6 linked regions of the Oryctolagus cuniculus genome follow. The protein of the gene in region 4 interacts with the protein of the main gene of each other region in a pairwise test. Links are inferred from orthologs where the notes say so. Each region holds a gene or a part of one and is shown on either strand. Other genes may lie near its edges.

The links. The genes of interacting proteins can lie anywhere in the genome.
Region 1: the proteins of USHBP1 (region 4) and SYNJ2BP interact in binary tests that used the Homo sapiens proteins (3 or more experiments, as listed by UniProt). The two-hybrid records come from large-scale screens. The link is inferred for Oryctolagus cuniculus from reciprocal best matches to the Homo sapiens genes USHBP1 and SYNJ2BP.
Region 2: the proteins of USHBP1 (region 4) and NECAB2 interact in binary tests that used the Homo sapiens proteins (3 or more experiments, as listed by UniProt). The two-hybrid records come from large-scale screens. The link is inferred for Oryctolagus cuniculus from reciprocal best matches to the Homo sapiens genes USHBP1 and NECAB2.
Region 3: the proteins of USHBP1 (region 4) and CNNM3 interact in binary tests that used the Homo sapiens proteins (3 or more experiments, as listed by UniProt). The two-hybrid records come from large-scale screens. The link is inferred for Oryctolagus cuniculus from reciprocal best matches to the Homo sapiens genes USHBP1 and CNNM3.
Region 5: the proteins of USHBP1 (region 4) and FAM110A interact in binary tests that used the Homo sapiens proteins (3 or more experiments, as listed by UniProt). The two-hybrid records come from large-scale screens. The link is inferred for Oryctolagus cuniculus from reciprocal best matches to the Homo sapiens genes USHBP1 and FAM110A.
Region 6: the proteins of USHBP1 (region 4) and PRC1 interact in a two-hybrid assay, tested with the Homo sapiens proteins (2 studies listed by BioGRID and IntAct). The link is inferred for Oryctolagus cuniculus from reciprocal best matches to the Homo sapiens genes USHBP1 and PRC1.

The regions. Positions count from the first base shown.
Region 1 is NC_091451.1:16,186,463-16,190,711, forward strand, and holds the start of SYNJ2BP (synaptojanin-2-binding protein), read right to left. Parts: upstream 2,801-4,249; 5' UTR 2,678-2,800; coding exon 2,614-2,677; intron 1-2,613. UniProt on the Homo sapiens protein: Regulates endocytosis of activin type 2 receptor kinases through the Ral/RALBP1-dependent pathway and may be involved in suppression of activin-induced signal transduction.
Region 2 is NC_091449.1:65,750,950-65,754,982, reverse strand, and holds the start of NECAB2 (N-terminal EF-hand calcium-binding protein 2), read right to left. Parts: upstream 2,801-4,033; 5' UTR 2,222-2,800; coding exon 1,988-2,221; intron 1-1,987. Other genes in the region: OSGIN1 (oxidative stress-induced growth inhibitor 1), read right to left, coding at 3,753-4,033. UniProt on the Homo sapiens protein: May act as a signaling scaffold protein that senses intracellular calcium.
Region 3 is NC_091433.1:110,906,312-110,910,469, forward strand, and holds the start of CNNM3 (metal transporter CNNM3), read right to left. Parts: upstream 2,801-4,158; 5' UTR 2,758-2,800; coding exon 1,536-2,757; intron 1-1,535. UniProt on the Homo sapiens protein: Probable metal transporter.
Region 4 is NC_091447.1:65,254,492-65,258,230, forward strand, and holds the end of USHBP1 (harmonin-binding protein USHBP1), read right to left. Parts: coding exon 3,643-3,739; intron 3,516-3,642; coding exon 3,379-3,515; intron 3,193-3,378; coding exon 3,052-3,192; intron 2,976-3,051; coding exon 2,820-2,975; intron 2,728-2,819; coding exon 2,478-2,727; intron 2,253-2,477; coding exon 2,028-2,252; intron 1,395-2,027; coding exon 1,297-1,394; intron 1,120-1,296; coding exon 997-1,119; intron 744-996; coding exon 548-743; 3' UTR 501-547; downstream 1-500.
Region 5 is NC_091442.1:26,831,846-26,835,806, forward strand, and holds the start of FAM110A (protein FAM110A), read left to right. Parts: upstream 1-1,161; 5' UTR 1,162-1,399; intron 1,400-3,961.
Region 6 is NC_091443.1:100,286,682-100,290,862, reverse strand, and holds the start of PRC1 (protein regulator of cytokinesis 1), read right to left. Parts: upstream 2,801-4,181; 5' UTR 2,593-2,800; coding exon 2,582-2,592; intron 1-2,581. UniProt on the Homo sapiens protein: Key regulator of cytokinesis that cross-links antiparrallel microtubules at an average distance of 35 nM. Essential for controlling the spatiotemporal formation of the midzone and successful cytokinesis.

The sequences.
Region 1 (4,249 bases), on a different chromosome or scaffold from region 4:
TTTTCCTTGTAGTAAGGAGGATTAGATGGAACAGATTAATTTGCCTTGCAAAATGGGCATAAACAGTGGAAATATCCCAGATCACTGGCACAAAAGCAGAGCAGTACACACTTTCTTGTAGTTACCTTCATTAAATGATGAGGTCTTAGGGTAGGAAGCTGTATAAAGACAAATAACCATGCTGCTCACTGTAAAAAATGTATACGTAGTTAGAGACTTTTCATATTCTTCCTATAGAAAGAAAGATCCCGATGGAATTACAAAAATTACATAGAGGACTCTAACGATGATTATTGACTTCTTCGTGGTTTATCTTCATGACAACACTATGAAGAAAAGCTGAATTAGATCTGAGACCAAGAGTATCACATACCAGTATACCAATTCTAGAAATAAATAGGAACTTGAAACCTTTCCTTGCTAATAGAACAAACCAAATTGCAAATAACTGTTTTTATCCATATTCAATCCTAAAGTTGTGGTTTGACCCTCCTCATAAGTTCCCTGGCTCTGTGACTAAGACATGAAAATGTTTAGGAAAATTCAAGAAACCACCCTGTGGATAAACTCACATACAATACAAAAACTAATCCACTTTTGGTTGCAATATATTAGCTAGATAGAATTTCTTTTAATTAATCCCATGAAGTTTGCCCTAACTCCAATGCTTCTGAAAAATACAAACACTAGGAACTTTATATCTGCAAGACAAACAGACTCAGAAGTTGTGGTGAATGGTGAACTAAATATTAGGCAACACTGCTTTGCAAATGCCAAAAATGATTTAGTGATATTATACTGAATTTAAATTATTTAGTGCCCAGAATAAGATTCTGCTCAGCTCTAGTTGGGAGATTCTAGAAATGATGCAGATGTCACTGCCAAGTACATTAAATTCTTAAGCAAGAATCAAGAACCCAAACTCAAATATCACAAAAAGTAATGTTACAACAAGATATTTAGGCTAAAGGAAGACCAGGCAAAGTAGAAGCAAGGGAAAATAAGTGCAGGGCAATCAGAAAAGGAACTAGCACAGTTTTAATTAGCCTTATATGAAAAACAATTACCAGTGGCAGAAAGGTACAGAAAAACAGATTCTGGTTGAAAACTAGCTTTCCATATTAGCTTTAAAGTCGGTAAGTATTGAGTAAGAGAAATAAAAAAATTTTATAAAATAGGAAGAAAGAATCCAAGGGGCTTAGTTACTCTGCTTAATTATATTTCCATAAGACCAGCTTCCAATTTTATATAACAAAAAGAAAGACACAAAATATAGGTAGTTCTGCAAGTCATATTTTATAAAGGATAATCTGTCAGTGGTGATTAAGCTACTGCAAAATTCCAGATGAGAAAAGTGATTAACTATTATAGATAGTGGCACTGGGAACAGAAAAAAGGATTTTAGAAACATTTTTAGATGGAGCACATGGGGCTTATGATTTCTACAGGGTCTTTTTCAATAACATTTACCATGCAAATCTAGCCATTCACCCAATAAAAATAACAGTAGTAGCAAATACATACTGCTTACTGTGTGTCAGACAATGCTCTAATTATTTTACAAATATATTTAGATGTTTTATCAATTAATTAATTTCATTCTCAAAAACTATATATTGTATTCTATAATCACCTCCAATTAACAGATGAGCAACTAAGGCACCAATGTCACTCAGTGGAAAAAAATACACCAAAGAACCAGTAAGCGGTTAGATAACAAGCTTTGTGCCTAGATAGTACAATTCCATGGTTAAAGCTCTTAATAAACTCAACAACTGCTAAAAAAAAAAAAGCCAACCAAGTCCAAGGCAGGCAGTGAGTAGCAATGTCAACAGCTCAGTCTAGGGAAGGAATATCTGGGGGAGGGGGGAGTACAGAAGGTGTAAGGATCTGACTGTATCAGAATCATGTAAGTTGTTAAAAACAAATTCGTATTGAATCCAAATCTCTAGAAATGAGAACTAGAAATCAGCATTCTAATTTTATACTAGCATAAAAAAGCAAAAACAAAAACAAAGCCTGGATAGTTTTGTAGCAGAACCAAGTTTGGAAACTCCTGTAACAGATCTCTAAAGCGTCTTCCTGCTTTAACAGTCTAGTTGACACTATATACTAATTTCTCAGAAATGAGGAAGGAATCCTGGCACCAGAACATCTGTGCATTTATTTAGAGTTCACATTGTTTTTTTTTGTTTTTTTAAGAATCGTTTTATTTAATAAATACAAATTCCATAGGTACAGCTTTTTGAATATAGCGGTCACATAGTTTACGTTCCCAATTTGGCTAAACGATCCTCCAAGGAACAAGGAGAGACCAGGTAATAGAAGGAAGAGTGTGTCCACGGAATGCTGGCTAAACAGCGGGTTTTATTCTAGGCTTCTCTAGCACCATGAGCAAAAAGAAATCTTTCCAGATTAGAAATACGTGTTGTAATCCGACCCGTCATCTAGCCAATGATGGATATCAATATATTCTTTCAACATTCCTAACCTCCTACGTTGGGGCCTGCCTACTCTGAGGCCAGGTGAATCCGGCGCAACAAAAAGAGGGTCTGCTCTGCAAAGGCACACCTCAAGTCCCCTACTCCCAAAGACAGCCCGCTCCGCACATACCTGAGGGTCCTCTAGTAAGATTGATTTCTTCCTCGGTGATTAAGTAATCCACTCTTCCGTTCATGTTTTACCGCTCCTATTCGGTTCAGCTGGGGCTCTGCCCAGGTGAAGGTGAATCAATCTCCGCGCTGCGGTCTAAGAACAGCACTTCCGGTTCGCGCAGCCTCCGGGCCGGAAGAGGAAGTGCGCCGCGCTCAGAGCGCTCGGAATGCTGGGAGTCGTGGTTCTCACAGCCGATCGGTTGTGTTCTCTCGTTGAGTGTTCCGAGAAAACTGTGAGGTCAGCAAGCCGCAAGTTATTGACCGGCGAAAGTACTTGGGAAAAGTAAGGTTGGGGTGGAGGGAGGCTAGTTAAGGTAGTGGACGTAAAGAAATTGATATTGCTGAGGAAAAATCTAAAAGGAATCTTGGCATCTCAAAATTTCCACAAATATAGAAAAGAAAATTTTGTTATTCTGTGAGCATCAAACTAGACTGGGATGGACGTTACAGGCAATCCATTGATGAGATTGCCAAAATGAAAAATCTCGTATAAGCCAAGTAGGTACAAACCATAACATGCTTGTCCTTACATAGAGGACTTGACAACACCATTTGTTATCCACTCTCTGATGGTTCACCTTTGGGGTGGCCTTCTGTGTTAGTTAATACAGGTTAGCAAAGGAAAAGTAATACTTTGCTCTCTGTATGACAAGCTGTTGCGTAAAGATTAGTGTAAACCACTTGGGTTAACTTCCATAGTAAGAGGAGATAGGAGCACTGTTTTCCCTGATATTAACATTGGGAAGAGATGGTTCCCAGGACCTTAAGTAAAAGATTCCTGGATTGTTGCTGACAAAAGCCTTATTTAATTTTAAGAAATTTAAGGGGCTGGTGCTGTGTCCTGATGGGTAAAGTGGCCGCCTGCAGTGTCCTCATTCTATATGGGCATTACTTCAAGTTCCAGCTCTCTGGTGTGGCCTGGGAAAGCAGTACCCAGTGGTACTGCACCTGTGTGGGAGACCTGGAAGAAGCTACTGGCTCCAGGCTTTGGATTGGCCCAGCTCTGGCTGTTGTGGACATTTGGGCAGTGAACCAGCGGATGGAAGACCTCTCACTCTCTCTGTGTAACTCTGCCTTTCAAATAAATAAATCTTTTATTTTTTAAAAGGAAGATATATATATATATACATAAACATTCAAATTTAAGGAATAGAGAGTGGGGCAAAGTCTACAAATTGATGCTACTGGGAAAAATAGGCTAAGGATGGAAGATTAGAGCAGTGATACACACTTAATTCTATATGTATTAGGCTAAGATGGAAGTGTACTTCATTCACAGTAAAGAACTAGAGATGGATGGTCAAAGGCTAATAGAGGAGCTCCTCAGTCACCAAGGAATCAGATTCCTTTCATCTTTCTATAACCCCTTCAGTTCTCATCCTTAGAGTGTGGCCTTTACTTCATGGCCCAAGATGGTTACGATGGTTTTTGGAACTTCAGCCTTCATATTCACATTTCAAGAAGGGAATGAAATGGCAAAGAGAACCTATTGGAAGTTTCATATATTTCTTGTATCTCCTTGAATAGAAGCCTATTACATGATTATATTTAACTATGAGAGAGACATAGAATATGCCATGTTTTAGTGGGATGGA
Region 2 (4,033 bases), on a different chromosome or scaffold from region 4:
CCCAGAGCAGCTCCAGCCTCTCCGGGACCCAGGGGCAGGGAGGGAGGCTGCAGGCAGAGCCCCCACCCCGCCCGCCGCCCCACACCCTCCTGTGGCACCAGCCTGCCCACAGCCATGCTCAGAGCCGGCGTGCGCCTGCACGCTCACACCCACACGCATCCCCGCAGGTGGCCGGCCGCGGCCCTCCCAGCTCGCCCACTGCCCGGCGCTGGGCACGCAGCCACACGGTGCCTCGGAGAGCCCCTCGCTTTACCAACGCTCTCCTTTCAGAACGCCGCGGGGGTCTCCATGGAGGCTGGGAGCCTCGAAGGCGGTGAGGGAGGATCAGCCATGGGCTGGAGGGCGTTATTTTTGGGTGGGGGAGCTGACAGCAGCAGCCCACCCGGAGCACAGACAGGAGACCCCAGCCTGAACTTCGAGACCAGGCGACACCTGCAGGCGCAGGGCAGAGCCATGGATCACCCTACAAGGTGCAGCACGCGCAGGGCCAGAGCCCAGAAGGGGCTCTAACGCCAGGGTCCCTCCCCTTTGGGCACCAAACACCTGGGCGCCGAACGCTAACACCTGCGGCCACGAAGGCCTTGGTGCACCTGCCGCTCCTGGGCACTTGGGAGAAACCCCGAGGGCTGGGCCGCCGAGTCACAGCCCTCATGGTAACCAGGACCCTGGGGAGGCTTCCCAGTGCCCTGCCGCCTGAGAGGGGTCCCGGGGTTGAAAGCAGCCCCCACCTCAGTCCAGCCAAGACGAACTGAGGCCGGGGGAGGGGCACTGACACCCCCAAATTCCCTGCTGTGTTTGCAGGCAGCAGGGGGTCTGAGCAGGACTGGCGCAGCCGCCGTGTCCTCCTTGGCTAACCGGCACTGGGGGTAGGGGGCTGGGATGGCCCCCGGGACCCTGGCACTGTGGCCCAGGCAGCAGCGCCGGGTCTTCAGCCCACCCAGGCCCCCATGGGAGCCAGCCTGGGCCCACGACCCCCGCTCCTGAGTGCCCAAGCTGCCGTGAGGCTGCGGCCTGACCTGGGCATCCCGGAATCTGGCCGAGGTCCGCGTGTGGCCTGGGTGACCGCTGGCTCCAGCCCCTGCCGGGCACCTCTGCCCCGGTCATCTCCCCCTTGGCAGATGAGGGACAGGAGGCTCCCAGCCCGCCCGCACCCCCATCCCGCAGGGTCTTGGGGCCACCAGCTGCGGGTGAGGGGGCAGCCCCCGGTGCTCCGGTGGGTGGGTTCCTCACACTGGGGCTTGCCTTGCCCTGCCCTGCCCGGCCCTCTCCACCTAGACCGGCCTGGGTTCCAGGAGTGTAGAGAGAGGAGGAAGAGACCCCGGACCCCACTCGCCCACCGGGGGAAACGCCACGCCCCTCCCCAAACCCACGCAGGATGCACCCACGCCCCAGTCCAGCCTCTGCGCTGCCACCCACGGAGAGCCCCCCCCCCCTGCGCCTCCTCCCACTCTGAAGGAGGTGCCCCGGGGTGGGTGGGTGAAGGGTGAGTCTGGGAGACCCCCAAGGGGCACAGAGCCAGCCGGTGGGGAAGTCCCCGGGGACCACGCTCCGGCGCTGTGGAAGGGGAGCCGGAAGAGGGACGTGGGGAGGGGGCTCCACTTTCCAGCAGACGTTGGGGGCCGAGGAGCTGCCGGGACGACAGGAGCAGGGCTCGCAGCCGGAGCTGGGGGCCAGGGCTTCTCCAAAGTAGCACTCGGGGCAGGGACACGGGACGGAGAGAACGAGGGGCCGCGGGTGAGGGTCCCGCTGGGGGAAAGCCGGGGGGCGGTGTCCCAGCGGCTCCGCGTCCCTGCTCCGGGACGGCGCGGATTCGTGGAAGTCGAGGGAGGGGACGGGGTGGGGGTCGTCTCGGTCCCGGGAGGGGGACCCGCGACACGGGGGGGGGCCGGGAGTTCGCGCTCTGGGACGCCGAGGGGCGCGCTGAGGGTTGGGCCGGGGTCCCCCGCGGGGAGAAGGGGGCGTCAGGTGCCGGCGGGGTCCTACTCACGTCCAGGATGACGGCGGTGCCCCCGCGCAGCGCGGCGGGGCCGGGGCCGGGGCCGGGGTCCGCAGCGGGGGCGGCGGGGACGCCGGGGGCGTCGGGGACCAGCGGCGCCCGGGGCTCGCCCATCCTGGCGCCCACCCAGCGCAGCAGCCCGCCTAGCGCCCGGCCCTGCGGCGGCGGCTCCCGGAGCAGCCTGTGCGCGCCGGCCCTGCACAGGCGCGCCGCCCGCTCGCACATCGCGCCCGCCGCCGCCGCCGCCGCCCGGAAGCCCGCCGACCCCCGCCCGCCCCCGCACGACCCCCTCCCCGCGCCGCCCCGCCCCGCTTCTCCGTCCCCGAGGCCGCGGACACCGCGGGGCCGGGCGCGGGGGAGGGGGGGCCCGGACCCCGAGCCACGTGCCCGGCTCCGCCGCCCCCACCCGCGCCAGCCGGGCGCGGCCTCGGGGGGGGGCTGCCGGCCGGGGACGGGGCGCGGCCTGGTGACCCCAGCGGGCCCGGAGGTGGAGGGGTTTCCCGCAGCGCCGGGGTAGGTTTTGGGGGGCGGGGTGCTCCCCGGGGGCTACCTCCTGAAAGTCTCCTGCTACCCCCCAAAGTCCCTCCTCCCACTCGTGGCGCCGTTGCAGGGGCCGGAGCGCCCTCTGCTGGCTGCAGCTCCAGGGGCCCGCGCCCTGCGCCTGCTGCTCCGCGCCGCTGGGGGGGGGGGCAGCCACCATCCCCTTGGCCCGGCTGCCGCCCCCTCGGACCTCCCTTTCCATTCTGGGCGCCCAGAGCACCTTTCCCTGCCACTCCACGCGCCCACACTCTTCACTACCCACCCACTCGTGCACCTGCCCCCCCCACGCCTGTGAGCGCCCTCCCCTCCTGCCCATCGTCTGTAGCGGAAGTGGGGAGCGCCCGCCCCACGGCCACAGACATCAAGCGTGGCAAGTGCAGGTGGGATTTGCAATTGCGGCTACAGCAGGCTAACCTGAGGTTATACATAGCCAAGTGGCCCCTGGCCGGAGAAGGGACCCCACCCCTGAGGGGCTGGTGCCGAAGAACCCAGCGGGCGAAGGCTTCCTGCTTGGTGCCAGGCAAGAAAGACACGGAGACACGGACTGTTCCCAACCACGTGGGCAGAGGCGGCCCCTGAAATGATGCCGCCGATGAGTGAGCAGCAAGAGCTCAACCCTAGAGGGAGTGATCCTTACGCTGGGAGAGCGGAAGGCAGGAGCTCAAGGGGCTGTGCAAAGGCCCTGGGGCCCACAGGAAGGGCCTGAAAGCAGACAGTGCGGCTGGAACAGGGTGGGAGGGGAGAGGCGGCTCCAGCCAGCTGCCCAATCAACTGCCCCCACATTAGGGCCCCGTCCCCTGTCACCCCCTCCCCTACAGCTCCTCCAGGACCCCACCCCCTCCCCTGCGCCCAGGGCTGTGCACCCAGCCGCCTCGCCAAGCACAGTCCTCAGGAGTGGAGGCAGGCACTGGTTTTATTTGGGGCCCGGAGTCCTCGTGGCTGGGTGCCCTGCTGGCCCCTGGCGACCCCCGCTCTTGCTGGCAGCCTCCCGCCCACGTCCCAGGTGTGGCCCAGCTGTGGCCTCGCTCCCGCCGTGGGCTAAGCCGGGGCAGGGTGAGTTCCCCACTGCTTCTGACCCGGAAGGCCGGTCGCCTGGGCTCACGGCCCCTGCCGCCTCCTGCGGGCAGAGGCCGGCTTGCCGCTCCGGGGCTCCCGCTCGGGCCGCGCTGACCGCCCGCCTCTTCAGGGCCTGGCTGCTGCGAGCCGAGGGCCGGCGCTAGGGCGGCCGCCCCGCCTCCTTTTTCTGCAGGGAGCTGGCCGCGGCCAGCGCCCCGCCCTGCACGAAGCGCACGAAGTTGTCCCCGGCCAGCGGGCCCACGGCGTACAGGCCCTCCTGCCGCGCGCTCTGGTAGGTGAACGGGTCCACGTCGACCGGGTTCCTCCGGGCGCTGAGCGGCTGCGCGGGCTCCACAGCCAGGGCGGCGCCGGCGCCGGGCAGGAAGGAGAGGTCGGGGTGCGAGCCGATGAGCACCAGCACGAGCGAGACGCCGAGCACGG
Region 3 (4,158 bases), on a different chromosome or scaffold from region 4:
GTGAGCCGAGCATTTAAGACACCTTGAAATGTGACAGCTTAGGCCATCAAAGGGACAGCTGTGGCCTCTATACAAGTTCCCTACGCAGAAGGGATAAAGCCTGCACTTGCAGTGTGACCTCTGCTACTGGTTCCCCAGGAGTAGGCGAACCTACCCATCTGCAGAGCTCCCAGCCGTGAGCAATCATCACCCTCCTAGCAACGAACACCCAGGCCCCGGCGCCCCGCATCTCCTCTCCCCGATCCTCTCATTACCCCTCCTATCGCTAACCACTGAGGACCCTGAGCCGGGAGAGGCAGGCAGCCTTCCCTGGGCCCAGGAGCACAGTGCAGGCCAGGCAGGATGGAACGCACTTGGCTGACTCCAGGGCCACACTGCTGACCACCACGCCTCGAGAGAGCCCACTGTTTGGGATCTAGACAGAGTACTTGCCACCAGCACGCTGTGTCTGGGCCCCACACAAAAGCCCTCCCCAGAGTAGGGCTGCATGGCCACGTTGAAGGGAAGGAGCCAGGGCCCCCAGAGAGTCCACCAGACCAGACACAGCTGTGGGTCCAAGAATTAAAAGACATGTGGAGTGCAACGCACCTACCAGGGTTTGGCCCGAGGCTGTGCCCAGTGCAGGAGGACCATGGTCACTCCTGCCAGGGCTGTCGGAGGGCTCTGCTCACGTGCTAACAGCCCGTCCACAGCACGGGGTGCCCCCACCCCGATCCTGCGGGAGTTCAGGTGAGAGAAGCACATAGCACCCCCAAGGCTGACAATGCAGACGGCTGCAGAGGGACCCACATTTCACACGCTGAGGGCCTGTTTTACCTTCAACCTTGGAGTCACTCAGAAAAGCCAGGGTTGAAAGGAGGGGTGAAAAGGAGCTAGAGGAGAAGCTGAGAGACCCTGAGGGGAGGTTTAAAAAAAAGGGGAAGTCAGGGGAAGGAGAGATTAAATCAGCATCCACGAAGCTGCTTCTGATGAAATCAAAGAGAAAGTTCTCTCCATACCTGTAGGAAAGGAGGAGTACTGATGAGTCATGCCCTTGTCACTCAGAAAAACAGCCATCAGCCAGGGACCCCACCAACGCCCTGGGGACACCACAGGGGCAGCTAGGCCCGGATCTGGAAGCCACCTTCTCCGTGTCCTTTTAGTTTCTATCCAAGAGTTTCAATCTGCTACATCCGACCCCAGGCACAACAGAAATGGCCTGGGAGCCGGGAAGACCCGGGAGGTTTAGAATCAGTGAGAGGTATGTCCCCAACACGGGGGCCACCGTGGAGAGAGAGAGAGAGAGAGAGAGAGAGAGAGAAAGAGAGGTGTTTGCGTTCCATGGCACTCTGTCCCCTCTGAAGGGCGGGGTCCTTAAACACTTTAAAAGGTCATTCCCATCTGCAACGCGACCACCCTCTTAAAACCGGCCCTTAGAGGGCCCCCTGCCCTCTCCAGGAGTGGGGCCTTTTCCCCGACGGCCCCATGAGCCCCCTCTCCTTCCCCAGGGCCAAGCTCGGGCACGGACATCCCCTCTGCGGTGCCCCAGCCGTTACCTCGCTTGAACTCCTCCAGGACGGCGTCCAGCTTGGTGTCGTTGAAGACGAAGTGCAGCGGGTGGTTGTAGAAGCGCGTAATGGTGCTCAGAGGCGTGCAGTCTTCCGGGTCCACGAAGGCCAAGTCCTTGAGGTAGAGCATGTCCACGATGTTGGAGCGCTCCTCCTCGTACACGGGGATGCGCGTGTGGCCGCTCTGCATGATGCTGGCCAGGACGCCGAAGTCCAGCACGGCGCTGGCGTCCAGCATGAAGCAGTCCTCGAGCGGCGTGAGCACGTCCTCCACCGTCCGGTAGCGCAGCACGCCCTTGCTGAGGTCGCTGTAGGGGTCGCCACCGCCGCGTGCCAGCTCCAGAACGCGCTCGCGCAGCCGCCCGGGGCGCGCCGCCAACTCCAGCAGTTGCCCCACGGGCAGCGCCACCGGTAAGGTGAGCAGCACCGCCAGGCGGCTGAGGCCGAGCGCGCGCGGCGCCAGCGCCAGCGCCCAGCGCCCGCTCACGGCGGCCGGCACCACCTCGCCCACTAGGAACACCAGCCCCGCGCAGCCCAGCACGGCGGGCACGGCGCGCTGGCCGGCTGCGCGGTACAGCAGCACCGCCAGCGCCGCCTGCGCCAGGCTGGCCAGCAGCAGCAGCGCGCCCAGGGCGCAGCCGGCCCAGCGCCGCGCGGGCTCCAGTCGCCGCGCCGCCGCACGCTCCGCCTCCGAGCCGCTCTCGCGAAGCACCTGCACCTCGGCCGGCGCCAGCGCCAGCGCACTCAGCTGCAGGCCCCGCGCCAGCGCCGCCAGCGCCAGCAGCCCGGCCGCCCCCAAGCCCAGCGCCCAGGGTGGCGCCGCCTCCTCAGCCGCCCCGCCGCCCGGCTCCACGCGCACAGCTAGCAGCGCCGAGTGCGGGCGCACGGTCTCGGAGCGCAGGCACAGCAGCGCGCGCCACTCGTCCGTGGGGGCCGCCCCCGCCTCCTCCTCGGGCGCCGCGGTCGACCCACTCTCGGGGCAGCCCGACCCCTTCGGGGCCACCCAGGTCCAAGAGCTATTGGCGAACCCGGAGCCGAAGAGGCGCAGGCGGAAGGTGGCCTCCGGCGCGGCCCGCACCGCTCCTCCGTCCTCCTCCAGACAGAAGCCCAACACTCGCAGACCTGGCGTCGCCTCCCCCGCGGCGTTGCCCAGGCAGAGCGCGGCGAACAACCAGCCCAGCCGACCCGCCGCCGCCGCCGCCGCCGCCATCGCCTGCTGCCCCCTCTCGGCCTCTCGCGCAGCCTACCCCGCTCGTCCCGCGGCCTCCGCCTCCCGCGGCCCAATCATGACCGGCCTTCGCGCCCCCTCGGCCAATAGACGGCGGGCGGGGGCGGGCCCTAGGGTCGGACTAGGCTGCGCCGGGGAGTAAACAAGCGGCGGCGCGGGGCGGGCCGGGGGCGTGGGGTTCTCCGCCCCAGCGAGCCCCGCCGCCGCTCCGAAGGCACTGGGTGGCCGGCTCTCGGAGGACGCGGAGCCGCGAGCTGGGGCGTGGCGGGGCGGGCAGGGCCTCCGACCCGTCCCGAGGCCTCGCGGGAGCCGCGGGCCCTTGCTCGGGACTGGAGCACTGAGCGGGAGCGGGTGCTCGCCTGAGCCGCGGGTCCCGGCGTACCTGAAGTTGCTGACGGAGATGGAAGCGAGTGGGAGCGTGCTGTTTTCCTAGGAACGGGCCCTGGGAGCCAGAACCAGCGGCTGGGGTTGTGCCGAGGTTTAACTGCGGCTGTAGGCCCCGGGACGCCAACACAGGCCCTGTCTTCAAGGAACTCGCTTTCCCGCCGGGGAGACGTGTGGTGGAAACGTGCACACGAGATCCCAGCCTCACTGGATCCTCACAGCTACTCGGTGTAACTAGTGTCTGACAGGAGAAAGGCGAAGTCCAGGAAGACTCCGCGGGCGTGTTGGGTTCCGAGGCGTCGGGACGCCCCGGCCACCACCGCCACCGCCGTAGCCGCGATGTCAGGAATCCCTGCCCGGCTCCTGGCAGTCCGTCAGTCCGAGGCCGAGAAACTCGCACGGCCTTTCTAGTCTAACTGCATTCAGGCTGGCCCCTGCAGCTGAGCTGTATTATTTCTTCTCTACACTTTTGCGGTGTTTTTTTTTTTTGTTTGTTTGTTTGTTTTTTTTTTTTTTTTTTTTTTTTTTAAGGCGGATAGCCCCGTGCCAACTTGCTCTGTCATGAAAACGACAGTTTATAAGTTTAGGGGAAGATGTTTAGCATGGCAGTTAAGAAGCCCCTTGGGACACCACATTCCATATAGGCATCTGGACTTGAGTCCCAGCTCCACTCCCGATCCCAGTTTCCTGATCATCTGCACCCTGGGAGGCAGCAAGATGGCTCCAGGATTTGGGTCCTGGCCACCCACATGGGTCGATCCAGATTGAGTTTCCAGGTCTGGCCTCCTCCTGGCCCAGCCCTGGCTGTTGGCAGCATTTAGGGAGTGGACCAGCGGATGGCAGATTCTTTCTCTGTCTCTGCCAGTCATATAACTTAAAAAAAATTGTTTAAAAAATTAAAAAGTACGCAGAGTGGCCACAATCAAGTGAAACATATCTGTGTGGAAAGTAATGTGCAAAAATGAGTCTGACCAAGGGGGAAACATTTTGTGAAAAACT
Region 4 (3,739 bases):
AATCAGTCGCCTGCAATTAACCTGGCAGGAACGCCTCCCGCTGCCCCCAACCTCCGCGGGAGATCTGGAAGCTCCCAGGCTGCCCAGGGCCCGGCAGGCCTGTGCCCCACCCCCTCCCCGGAAGGACACGCATCGAGAGTTCCAGACTTTTCTCTGATGCCTGCCCTCAGCCTCCACAAACCCTGATTCCTCTTCCAGCCGACCATCCACGCCTTGAACCTGAACCTGAACCCCAACCTTGGGGGCCTCCAGTTGTTCTGGATTGTTCCCTGGGAAGCAGATGGGCAGGGGACGAGTGTCCTGTCCCCAGGGGCCCGCCCTGGGTTTCTGGACAAAGAAAGGACTTGGGGACATCAGCTCGGGCTCTGCCACCTTCCCTGTCCCCTGGATTGATTGTTCCGGGTCCCGGGGGGGGGAGGGGGAGACCATGACCTTCACAGCCTGACCCCGGTGGCCCAGGCAACCGGTCCCCACCCATGAGGACACATGCACCCCAGGGCGACAAGTCACTCCAGGCCGGTTTATGACACGTGGCTGGGGGTGGAGCCTACAGCAAGGTCTCCCCAAGCTGGGGGGGAGGAGGCGGGCAGGGGCACCCGGGCTGTTCCAGCGCCCGGGCCGTGGCTTCCAGTGCTGCCAACTCCTCCGCCTGCCGGGCCTCCAGGATTGCCACCTGCTCCTCCAACTTGCGCCGCTGCTCCTCCTGCTTCCGGTGGGCGCCTCTGAACGCCAGGACCAGGGCACTGCAGGGTGTGGGTGGCTGAGCCGGGGAACAGCGCCCCACCCCAGAGAACAGCACCCCCACCCCACCCAGGGCTGCGGCGGGGGCGGGGCGGGGCGCCGCGGGGGCGGGGCTACGTCCTAGCTGGCTCCGGGCATCCTGCAGGAAAGGCGTGGCCTGCACTGCACCCGCTCACTATCTTCCAAGTGGGGGGAACGAGGCCCAGGGACACACCCGCGGTCAGCAGGGGTGGGCTGCGGGGGGCGGCGGCCCACCTGTGCGCCTTGCATAGATCGCTGTTCAGCTCGGCGCTCTGAGCCCGCCGGACGCGCCCCTTCTGAGCCACCTGCTCCAGCTCCCGCCACAGAGCCCGCAGCTGAGCGCGAAGATCCGCGGCCCTGGCGCGGGAGTGGAGACAGCGGGGCTCCGGCCGCGGCCCGACCCGGTCCTCCTCTCCGCTCCCCACGCCCCTGCGCGCAGGCGCACGCTGCCACACCACACACACACACACACACACACACACACACACACGTCCCCACCCCCGCCTCCTCCGCAGAACCCACCCAGGCACACACCTGGCGAGCGAAGCGGCCAGCTCCTGGGCTAACCTCTCCGGGTCCCACGCCCTGCCCACCTGGCCTCCCTCGGTGGCGTTGGGGACAGCAGGAGGACCCTGTAGGAGACAGAAGGGAGGGAGGTGACCTCTGTCTAGAAGTGCTCAGCCCAGCCTGGGCATAGAAGCTGGCCTGGGGGGGGGGCAGCCAGAGCCCCTCGCTTCCCAGAGCCCCCATTCTGCTAAGAGACCCTCAAGTCCCTGATAAGGGAGATAAGTCACAGGGCCGGGGTGGGGTGGGGTGCCGAATATTGCTCCTTTGAGGGCAACCCAGGAGGGCTTCCTGGAGACGGTGGACATTCCTGGTGGCAGCACCGGCTTGCAGGTGGGAGGGGTGATGCGAAGAGCCCCGTTTAGAAGCCTGGGGCAGGGGCGGTGTGGTGGCACCGCGGGGCGGGCTGCTGCCTGGGACAGCCGTGGCCGTATCAGAGTGTTGGTGGCGTCCCAGCTGATCTGCGTGCGCCCCAGCTCCCTGCGCATGCGCCCCCTGGGAGGCAGGGGCCCACGACTCCAGGGCTTGGGTCCTGCCGCCCACGTGGGAGACCCGGATGGAGCTCCCGGCTCCTGGCCCAGACCCGGCCTTTGCAGCCATGTGGGGAGTGAACCGGCAGATGGAAGACCTCTCTCCCTCTCTCTCTCTCATCCACTGAACCCCTAGGGGCCAAGGGCAGCGACCCCCGAAGGGCCGCTCACCTGGGGCCGCTCCTCCTCCTCCTCCTCGCTGCTGCCCGCCCCGCTGCTGTCCCCCGCGCCGCTGTGGGGCCCCGCGGCTCCCAGCTGCGCGCGCTCCCACTGTAGCTGCTCCAGCAGGAGTGCGTGGGCGGGGCCCTGGGCGCGCAGCGCCGCCTCCCGCAGCTCCAGGCCCCGCTTCTCCCGCCGCACCAGCTGCAGCTGCAACATCAGGTCCGCCAGGGTCTCCTGAGGGGTCGGGGAGGGGAAACTGAGGCTGGCGAGCACGTTTGGGAAAAACTGGATTGAGAGGTCTGTGAGTAACAAAACTCCTATTCATCCCTCAAAACCCCAGCTTCAATTCTCCCTCCAGGAAGCCCTTCCCAGCCCAGCAGAACCTTTCCCCCTCCCCATCCCAACCACACCTCTGTCGGTTCTGACCCCCCCCCCCCAGGGACCACAGCCCCTGTGTACCCGTGTGGCCACCAGTTCCCTCTGTATCTCCATCTTCTCCAACCGCGGCAGGGCCGGGCCGGGCTGGGCTTCCAGCATGGCCTGCACCATGGCTTCTGCGTGGGGCATGGTGGGCGTGGGCTCCACGGTGGGGCCCGGCTCTGGGGGGGTCTTCACCAGAGCCTGGCGCTGCCGCAGACGCCGGGCATAGCCCTGCAGCAGGGCGGCCACTTCCTGCGGTGTGGGTTTATCCACACTGCTGCCCTCGGGGCTGCGGGAGGAGAGGAGGAGTGGGTGCCGCAGGCCATCACGGAGGCCAGCCCCGGGGAGCCCCAAGGCCCAGCGCGGTCCCCGGGCGCCTACCTTGGCTGTGCCTTCCGCGGTGCCGCGGCGTCTGCGCCGCCCTCCTCCTGTGCCAGCAGCCGCCACGCCTCCCTCTCAGTGGCCTCCAAGTCCCGCGCTCCGGAGCTGGCCTCGTGCAGGGCCAGGAGAGCCGCGCACACGGCCTCACGGTGCTCACTGCGGGACGGGGGTCCTGAGCGCCCTCCCACGCCGTGGCTCGCGGCCCCTCCCCCGCGGGGACCTCTCCCCTGACCTGTCCTGCAGCGCCAGCCGCAGGGCTGTAGCCTCGGCTTCCCGCTGGCTCAGCCGCATGCTGAGGCTCTCACACCGGCCCTTGCGCCCTTGCAGCACGGCCAGTAGCAGCCGGTTGAAGCATTTGAGCTTCTCGATGTTTCTGTCTCGGGGTGGGGGAGGGAGAGGGAAAACGAGGGGACTCTTTGGAGGGGGGGAGCAGCCAGGGGCCAGTTTCCACCCCGCTCCTACCCCGTTTAGACGCCCATCCCCGGGGCTTAGACGCCCATCCCCGGGGCGGCAGGACAGCGGCCGGTGCCCTTAAAAGCTCAGCAGTGGTGGCGCTCACCCGCGGAGCTGTTCCATCTGGGCCTCCAGGATCTGCATCTCGGGGGCCAGGGGTCGCGAGGGGAGAGAGCCCAGGATGTGCACACTGGAGTCACTCCGGATGCGCCGGAGCAGCGGGTGAGCCAGGGAGAGGGAGTCCTGCAGGGAGGACGTGTGCCCTGAGCCAGCCAGATGGCCACCGAGAACCCAGGGCCATGCAACCCCCCAGAGCCAGGATCCGGGTCTCCCCTGCCTGGATGCTGCGGGTTGCGCCTCTCGCACTCACCTGACCCCCCCAGGGCTCCCCATCCGCCCCAGAACTGCTAGAACCACTCCCTGAGCCTCCAGCGTGGCTGTGGGTGCGCGGAGACAGGGGCTCCAGC
Region 5 (3,961 bases), on a different chromosome or scaffold from region 4:
GGCCTGGAGGGTGAATTTAGTCTAGTGCCCTTAAAAATGTCTTTTTTTTTCTTTCCCCCTCTTGACAAGTCCACGTGATGGACTTTAGGAAAACCCGCAAAGCCCTGGCTTTGTGGTACAGTGGGTTAAGCTGCAGTTTGCAATGCTGTCATCCCACAGCTGGAGTGTTGGCTCAAGTCCTGGCTACTCTGCTTTCCATCCAGCTTCCTGTTAACGTGCCTGGGAAGGCAGCAAAAGATGATCCAAGGAGTCGGGCCCCTGCCACTCACATGGGAGACCAGGATGGAGTTCCTGGTTTCTGGCTGCTGCCTGGTGCAGCCCTAGCTATTAAAGCCATTTTGAGGACCTCTCTCTCTCCTCTCTCTCTCTCTGACTCTGCCTTTCAAATAAATAAAGTTTTTTTTTAAAAAATGTACAACAAAAACATTCAAATAAAAAGAAATTAACTACTATTATTATGTGATTATGCATATATACATATTGCGGTTACATATAATATGTATGCATAGGACTTTGAAGCAACTTTTAATAATTCAACATTCCGTTAGCATTTCACCATATCTTTAAATATATTTTAAGTGCATCATTTTGGTGGCTGCATACTGTTCCTCACCAGACCGTGGCGAAGGATGTGACGCGGGCCCTGCCGCGGTTAGGTTACACGAAGCCACTGGCACAGCGTGCATTTGCGTAACCAGACCTCCTGATAAGCGCTGCTGTTTCCGCATCATCTCACTAAGCCGACTACTGCTGGGTTACTACTGACATTTGCTCAGTTTGGAGCCACTTCCTTTGCAAATTTCGGGACGGCCGGATATGCAAGGTTTTAGAAAGACCTCTCTTCTGACGGACAGGGACAGGTCTGCGGTCACACAGCAAATTAGGGACAAAGACAGGACTAGGAACCTGCCCGAGGCCCCGACTAGTGCCATTTCCAGCTGGATCCCCAGAGGAAGGCCTAACCCGAGAAGTAGGGAGAAGACAGGAAAAGAGCCAGGCGCCAGCTCCCGCAGCCGCCGGGAGGACACCGGGCCGGCAGGGGCGGGGCTGTGAGTCGCCTCCAGCGCGCAGCCGAAGCTAAGCGGTCGCTTGGCAACCTGGGCGCCGCGGCGTTCGAACGGAAGCGAGGAACCAATCAGGAAGTCCGGAGCGAACCATTCCGGGGAAGTTGCGGGGTGGGGAGCGGCGGGCCCACTTCCCTTTCCTCCGCGACCCGGGGACCTTCGCTCCGGGGAGGCCTTCGGAAACACCGGGACACCTGCGCGTCTCAGGTGCCGCGCGCAGCTCCGAAGAGGCTCCTGCGGGTCGCCGCGCGGGGCTGGGACCTGCCTGCGTTGGGCGCGGCCACCCCCGGCCCGGGTCCGAGCTGTCAACCTCACACGCCTAGCGCGGGCTCCAGGTGAGCTCGGGGGTGGTCCCGGTTGCGAGCCCGGGTGTTGGGAGTTGCGTCCGCCCAGCGCTCCCGGGCGTCCTCCCCGCGTATGATCTGCGTGCCATTTCAGATACGGAAGCTGAAACTCAGAAGGACGAGGGTCCTAGGCCGTCTTTTTTTACCCCTGCGCAGCCGCTAAGGCTAGGCAGGTGCAAATTTGCCTTGAGAGGCCCAGAGGTAACCGGCGGTTGCTTTCCCAGTCTGTCCTCGGCACGGATACGGCCCTTGAACTCCTGGCTGGATTACCTTGCCCACTCGGCACCGTCCTCAGGAGACCCAGCGCGCCTGGGGCCCTTCTGCTGTCGGGGGTTCTGAATCCCAACACCCCCTCCCAGGGCCCTCTTTCTGGGGATGGGAGGGGACCGACGTTTCCAGGATAGATGCCAAGTGGGCAGTAGATTCTTGAACCCTCGGAGACGCTGTTGTCTTCTTGGGAACCTGCCTGGGGTCGGGAGAGGGGTTGAAGCAGTCCCTAAACACTGGGGGTGGGGTTGGGGCTGGGGCCCTCCAGGTGGAGCCTCTGAGCTGGGCCAGACCCTGCTCTGCCTCCTGGGGACCCCTCTCCCTGCACCTGCTCTTGTTGGTCTCCTTTGGTAGGTGGGGGAACAGCTTCCTCCTTGAAGGAGGTAGGCTCCTTGCCCGAAGTCACCTGGTCCATCTGGCTTCAGTCTTAGAATCCTCCACTCAGAGAACTGCAGAATTCGAATCCTGAATCTCATCACAAGAGAGTTACTTATTCTCTTCCCTTCTGGACCCGTTTCCTGGCTTTGGGGAGAAGAGCTCAGAAAATTCAGAAAGAAAAGCCTTTCATCCATTCCTTCCACAAATAGTTATTTATTTTCATTTTATTTGCAAGGCAGGGAGACAGACAGAGAGTGATCATCCATCTGCTGGTTCACTCCCCAGATGCCCACAACAGTCAGAACTGGGCCAGGCTGAAGCCAAGCGCTCCGAACTTCATCCAGGACTCCCACGGGGGTGGCAGAGTCCCAAGCACTTGTGCTACTTCCTAGGGCGTGGGTGGGTACTTCAGTATGGGCTGTGGGTGTCCCAAGTGGCGGCTGAACTGCTGTGCCCAGTGCCTGCCCTCGGGAAGTGGTTGTTGACTGCGTGTCCTACCCTCCCCTGATGTCTCATTTTCCTCGTTTGCTCTGTCCTGTGTCCTATAAATTCTGCTTGCTAGCGAGTTGATTATCTTCTCCCAGTAGAAGGCGATGAAGGTGGGGGCTGGGAGGAGGCATGCATCGCTGGCACACACTTCCTGCGGTGGCCGTGATCTCCGTCATGGAGTTAAGTGAAGTGAACCGGTGTGTTCCCCTGGTGAGGCACAGACTTGTGTGGCTCCTGGGGCACGCGGTCCTATCTCTGCTGCAATCGCCAATGCATCCCTTGGCCCCAGCCGCCCCATTTCAGGCAAAATGTAGGCGCAGTGACGCTGCAGCGTGGTTGGTGACAGTGGCTGTCAGTGGGGACCAGGGAAACAAATGGGGGGGGGTACGCTCTGTCTACTGACGTGGCAGCAAGAGCAACATACTGTGCGCCAAGGAAGAGCAGGTGAAAACAGTCTACGCAGCGTGGTGCCATGTGTGTACAAAGGAAATCATTAGTGTTCATACTTGCTTGGTTTTGCCTAAAATTTTTCCGGCCCCAGTGGTGCCTGTGGGGGGTGGTGGTAGTGAGGACAGAGGTGGAGGGAGTTGTGTTTTTTTTTTTTAACTTTATTTCCTTTATAGTTTGAATTTTGAGCCATGTGCATGCATTACCTCATTGAAAACAATAATCATACACACACACACACACACGTGTCTCATGAGACCGTCACTCTGTATGACTTGTCTCTGACTTGCTGTGTGACTTTGGCAAGTTTCTTCACATCTCTGGGCTGAGATGAGAAGCCAGGATGGTGAGCTCAGGTCTGAGCAGAGGGCAATCTAGGCCGTGAAGTGGGCTTGGCTGTGCGCCTGCCTCAACGGCCAGCCTCCGCATCCTGGGCCGGGCCCTTCCCCGAGGCCCTGTGTGTGGTGTCTCTCGTTCCATTCCCACTACGAGCCCCTCTGTCCTCATTTTGCAACCTCTGGTGCCAACTGAGGCCCGGGAGATTGGGTCCTTGGGGGCGGGCATGCGGGCAGGCCAGGCAGGAGTTCAGTGCCCTGGGCATCCACACCCACACCCCTCCCACAGCCTGCTCGGCTCTGCCTTCCTGAGACGAGGGCAAGGCCGGCTCCTGGGCAGGCCAGGGCACGAGCGTCTGGGAAGCCTCCAGAAATAGCTTGAGGCCTAGCGTGGCCTTGGAGGACGCCCAGCCGGGTGTCTCTGCCCTGGACAGCTGGGCTGAAACCGAGCTGCGGCTGCTACTGCTTGGAGCCTTGCTGATCCTCTGCTGGGGCAGGCGAGGGCCTCACCGTCTGCACCCAAGGCCAGGAGAGAAGCAGGTGGAAGGAAGGGGAGGGGCCTCCTGCCCACTCCACAGAGGACCAAAGTTCCCAGCACCACTTGAACGCTGACTATGTGCTAAGCACTTGACAAGTG
Region 6 (4,181 bases), on a different chromosome or scaffold from region 4:
CTGTAAGAATGTAAATGATGGGGCCAGATCATCCACCCAGCTTAGCAGGCTAAGCTGCTGTCTGTCAACACCAGTATCCCACGTGGGTACCGGGTTGAGTCCCAGCTGCTCCACTTCCGATCCAGCTCTCTACTAACGTGGCTGGGAAAGCAGCGGAAGATGGCCCAAGTGCTTGGGCCCCTGCACCCACGTGGGTCTTGAGGCCTGCGTGGAGTTCCAGGTTCCTGGTTTCAGCTTAGCCCAGCCCCGGCCGCTGTGGCCACTTGGGGAGTGAATCAGCGGATGGAGGCTCTCTCACTTCTCTCTGTAACTCTGCCTTTCAAATAAATAAATAAATAAATCTCAAAAAACAAACAAAAAGAATGTAAACGATAAAGGCAAGTTCTGTTCAAGGCTATATCCCTAACACTTAGAATCATACTTTGTACACGACATTCAGGAAATGTTATCTGAGGGGCTGGCACTGTGGCATAATGGGTTAAGCCACTGCCTGCCATGCCGGCATTCCATATGGGCGCTGGGTCAAGTCCTCGCTGCTCCTCTTCAGATCCAGCTCCCTGCTAAGGTGCCTGGGAAAGCAGCAGAGGATGGCCCAAGTGCTTGGGCCCCCGCACCCACGTGGGAGACCCAGAGGTAGCTCCTGATTCCTGGCTTCTGCCTGGCCCAGCCCTGGCCATTATGGCTGTTAACTCTGCCCTTCAAATAAATATTTAAAAAAAAAATAAAGATTATTGAATGGCTAACTTGACAATTTAAAGAAGTCCAGCGACCTTCAGATGCCGAGCGATCACTGTGCACAACTGCTGCTCAGCCACACTGCCTTGCTGACCGGTTTCAGTGCTTCCCTGAAAGGAGTGAATCTGGGATGTCTTCTTAGAACACATCTCTGCAAACCTGACGGTGCCAAGAGTGCCGCGCTGTAAGAGTCCGCTTTCCCAGTCTCAGTCTCGGCCATGAGTCACCGGCTGGAAGAGCCGAGCCCTCAGCGCCGCCCTGCTTCCAGGCAGCCGGCACCACCGCGGCCCTAGTCTCTCCTGGACAGCTCTCCATCCTGCACAGCCAGCCGTTAACTCCGCGAGCAGTCCCCTGGCCATCATGTTTCTGAGGCCTGTTTCTCATATTCCTTTCCAAATAGGAATCCCTGGGCCAGGCATCTGGGGAGGCTTGAGCCCACGTCAGTTCCTGTGAATGTGCACCCTGGGAGGCAGCAGCTCAGGTCCCTGCCACCTGCTTAGGAGACCCGAACGGGGTTCCGGTCTCCTGGCTTCAGCCCGGCCCAGCCCCAGCTGTGGCAGGCATTTTGGGGGTGAACCAGTCTCTGTCCCCTTCTCTCTCTGTCTTTCAAGTGAGGAGGAAAACTGCCTGCTTCCCATATAAGAGTGCCTGGATTCAAAACCCAAGTCTGCTCCCCTGTTCCAGCTTTCTGCTCACGAAGACCCTGGGCAGTGGTCATGGCCTCCTGCCACCCAGGTGGGACCTGGATGACTCCAGCTCCTGGTTTCCACCCAGCCCTGGTGTTGTGGGCACTGGAGAGTGAACCAGCAGGTAGGATTGATCTCTCTCTCGGCCTTGCAAATTAAAAAAGTATATATGATTACCTGAAATCCAGATGTAGCCCCAAATCTGGCTTGTTTAGTAGAGTGATTCCAGTTTAAAGTCTAATTACACCCATCAGCCTGGAACCAAAGTTAATGGATAACTCTCCCCACCCCTTCACCTGCCCCTGAACAGCCTGTAACTGTACCTGGACTGCGAGTAAGCCTTTCCTATGGATGTCAATCAAGACTCCATCACTAGCTTAAACCCACAGCACCCTAACCCTGCTGTCCTTCGGTAGCACCGGTAATTTCTACCCGATTCTATTCTCCAACAGGGCAAGCATTTGGAAAAACACGGATCCGTTTAGCAATCAGAAAAGGCTGTAGAGCTACCAGTTTGATTATTTAATGCTGAATTTAAGGCTTCTGCCACTGTCTTCACAAAGTACAGTCAGCACTTAGTCCACGCACGGATATTATCATTTTGGTAGCGAGAAGACCTGCGTTCCGCCTCTGCCCTGGCACAAGGCTCAGCCGCCGGGCCCGGTTTCAGGGCACCCTCCCTCCCGGCCAGTTTCCAGGGGACCCTCGCTCCCGGCCAGCCCCGCCTGCGGACCGGTTTCAGGGGACCCCCGCTCCCGGCCAGCCCCGCCTGCGGACCGGTTTCCAGGGACCCCCGCTCCCGGCCAGCCCCGCCTGCGGACCGGTTCCAGGGGACCCCCGCTCCCGGCCAGCCCCGCCTGCGGACCGGTTCCAGGGGACCCCCGCTCCCGGCCAGCCCCGCCTGCGGAGCTGCTGGAACGACCAGGAAATTCCAGCCTCGGGCTCGCCGTCTCCCCGTCCACGCACACGTGAACCCCGCCGCGCCCCGCACTTGCAGCCGGCTCGCCCTGCCCCGCCGCGCAGCCCCCCGACCGCAGTCGAGCGGACCGAGGGGACCCCTACTCCGGGGCCGAAAGCGTCCGTCGGACGTGGCACCGGCCCACGGACCCGCGCCCGGCGTCGCTCCCTCCCAGCCCTTCCGACCGTCCCGCAACTCGCACCTCCCACTCATGGCGGACGCTCCACGCAGCCTGGCGTCGAGGCCCCGGCCGACTCCACCACAGCCCGAGCGCAGGCAACACCGGCAACCTCGCTCCGAGTCGCCACTCTGAGAGCCGTTGAGCCCCGCGGAATTTCAAACCCAGACGTGAGGCGGGGCGGCCCGGCGATTGGCGCCGCAGCCCGCGGCTCCTCGCGAAGCCCCGCCCCCGCCCCGCCCCGCGGCGTGGAGCCGCCAATGCGCAATCGTGAACCCGCGCCAGGGCTCGGGGCGGGGTCTGAGGTCACTGCGCGTGCGCCCGGCGCCGTCCCGGCGTCCTCCGAGCCCCGGGTCCGGGCTGCAGCCGCGAGAGCGCTATGCCCCGTGGCTACCTGCCGCCGGCGGGCGGCGGAGGTGACCTATTGGAAAATCCTGTTTCCCTGGTCTCTCCGGAAGACCTGGGAACTGATCCTTGATGGAATCTTGCCCAGATGTAGGAAACCGCATCCGGAAGGGGAGGGGAGGAGCACGTCCCTTCCACTCTGGTTATCGCACGTAACTCTGCTGGACAGAGGAACCAAAGTCACTAGTCAGAAGTCCCTTCTGCTTCCCCCGCCCCGCCGCCCACCACAGCCCCTGCCTTAGGAGAGCTACTGAAAACGTGGCAGCGTTAAGCGGGCTGACGGGGAGTTAGGTTTGAGCTCCCTCGGGACTCCCTTATTTTACTTATTTTTGCCTTTAGGTGGCTGCAGGCAATGTACTCATTTTGGTTACGTAACAAAGTTCGTGGGAAATGGACTGAAAAGGCGAACGCAGGTGCGGGCGTTAAGCCAACACCCCATCTTGAGTGACTGGACCCCAGTCCCAGCTCTGCCCACATGAGCGTCCGGTTAGTGCCCACCCTGAAAACAGCAGGTTGGCTCAAGCAGTCTGGTCCCTGCCCCCATGTGGGAGCCCCGGGTGGGGTTCCAGGCTTCCAGCTTTGGCCTGGCCTGGTCTTAGCTGTTGTGGGCTTCTGTGGAGTGAACCCGTGAATGGAAGATCTGTCTCCCTCTACCTCTACTCTGCCTTTCGAATGAGTAAAAATAAAAAGGATTCAGAAAGTTTTGGGGAGTTCACAGATGTGTATTATGAAAAAAAAAAATACATATTTTCTAACAATTTTTTGCACCAGAATAAACTTATAAGTCCACATTCTACAAACTTTTTGTAGTCTCGTATAATTGTTACATGCAAAAAATTCACAACAAAACCAGTATCACCATACTTTTGTACCTTCCATTTCTGAAGAACACAGACTACATCCCTAAATGCCTATATGTCAGTTTCCCTAAGTATCTTGGCATGTGGCTATTTCATAATCCAACTATTTTGCTATTGATACTTACATCGTAATTATTTTATGCAATTTAGTTTTGAGATTTATTTATTTGGAAGGCAGTTACAGGGAGAGGGAGAGACAGAGAGAGATCTTACAGCCGCTGGTTCACTCCTCAGGTACCCTCAGTAGCTGGGACTGATCACTGCCTTCCCAGGTGCGTTAGCAGGAACCTGGATCAGAAGCAGAGCCTGGACTCAAATGTGCACTCTGGGGGCCTGAAGCACCAGCATCCCATATGGGC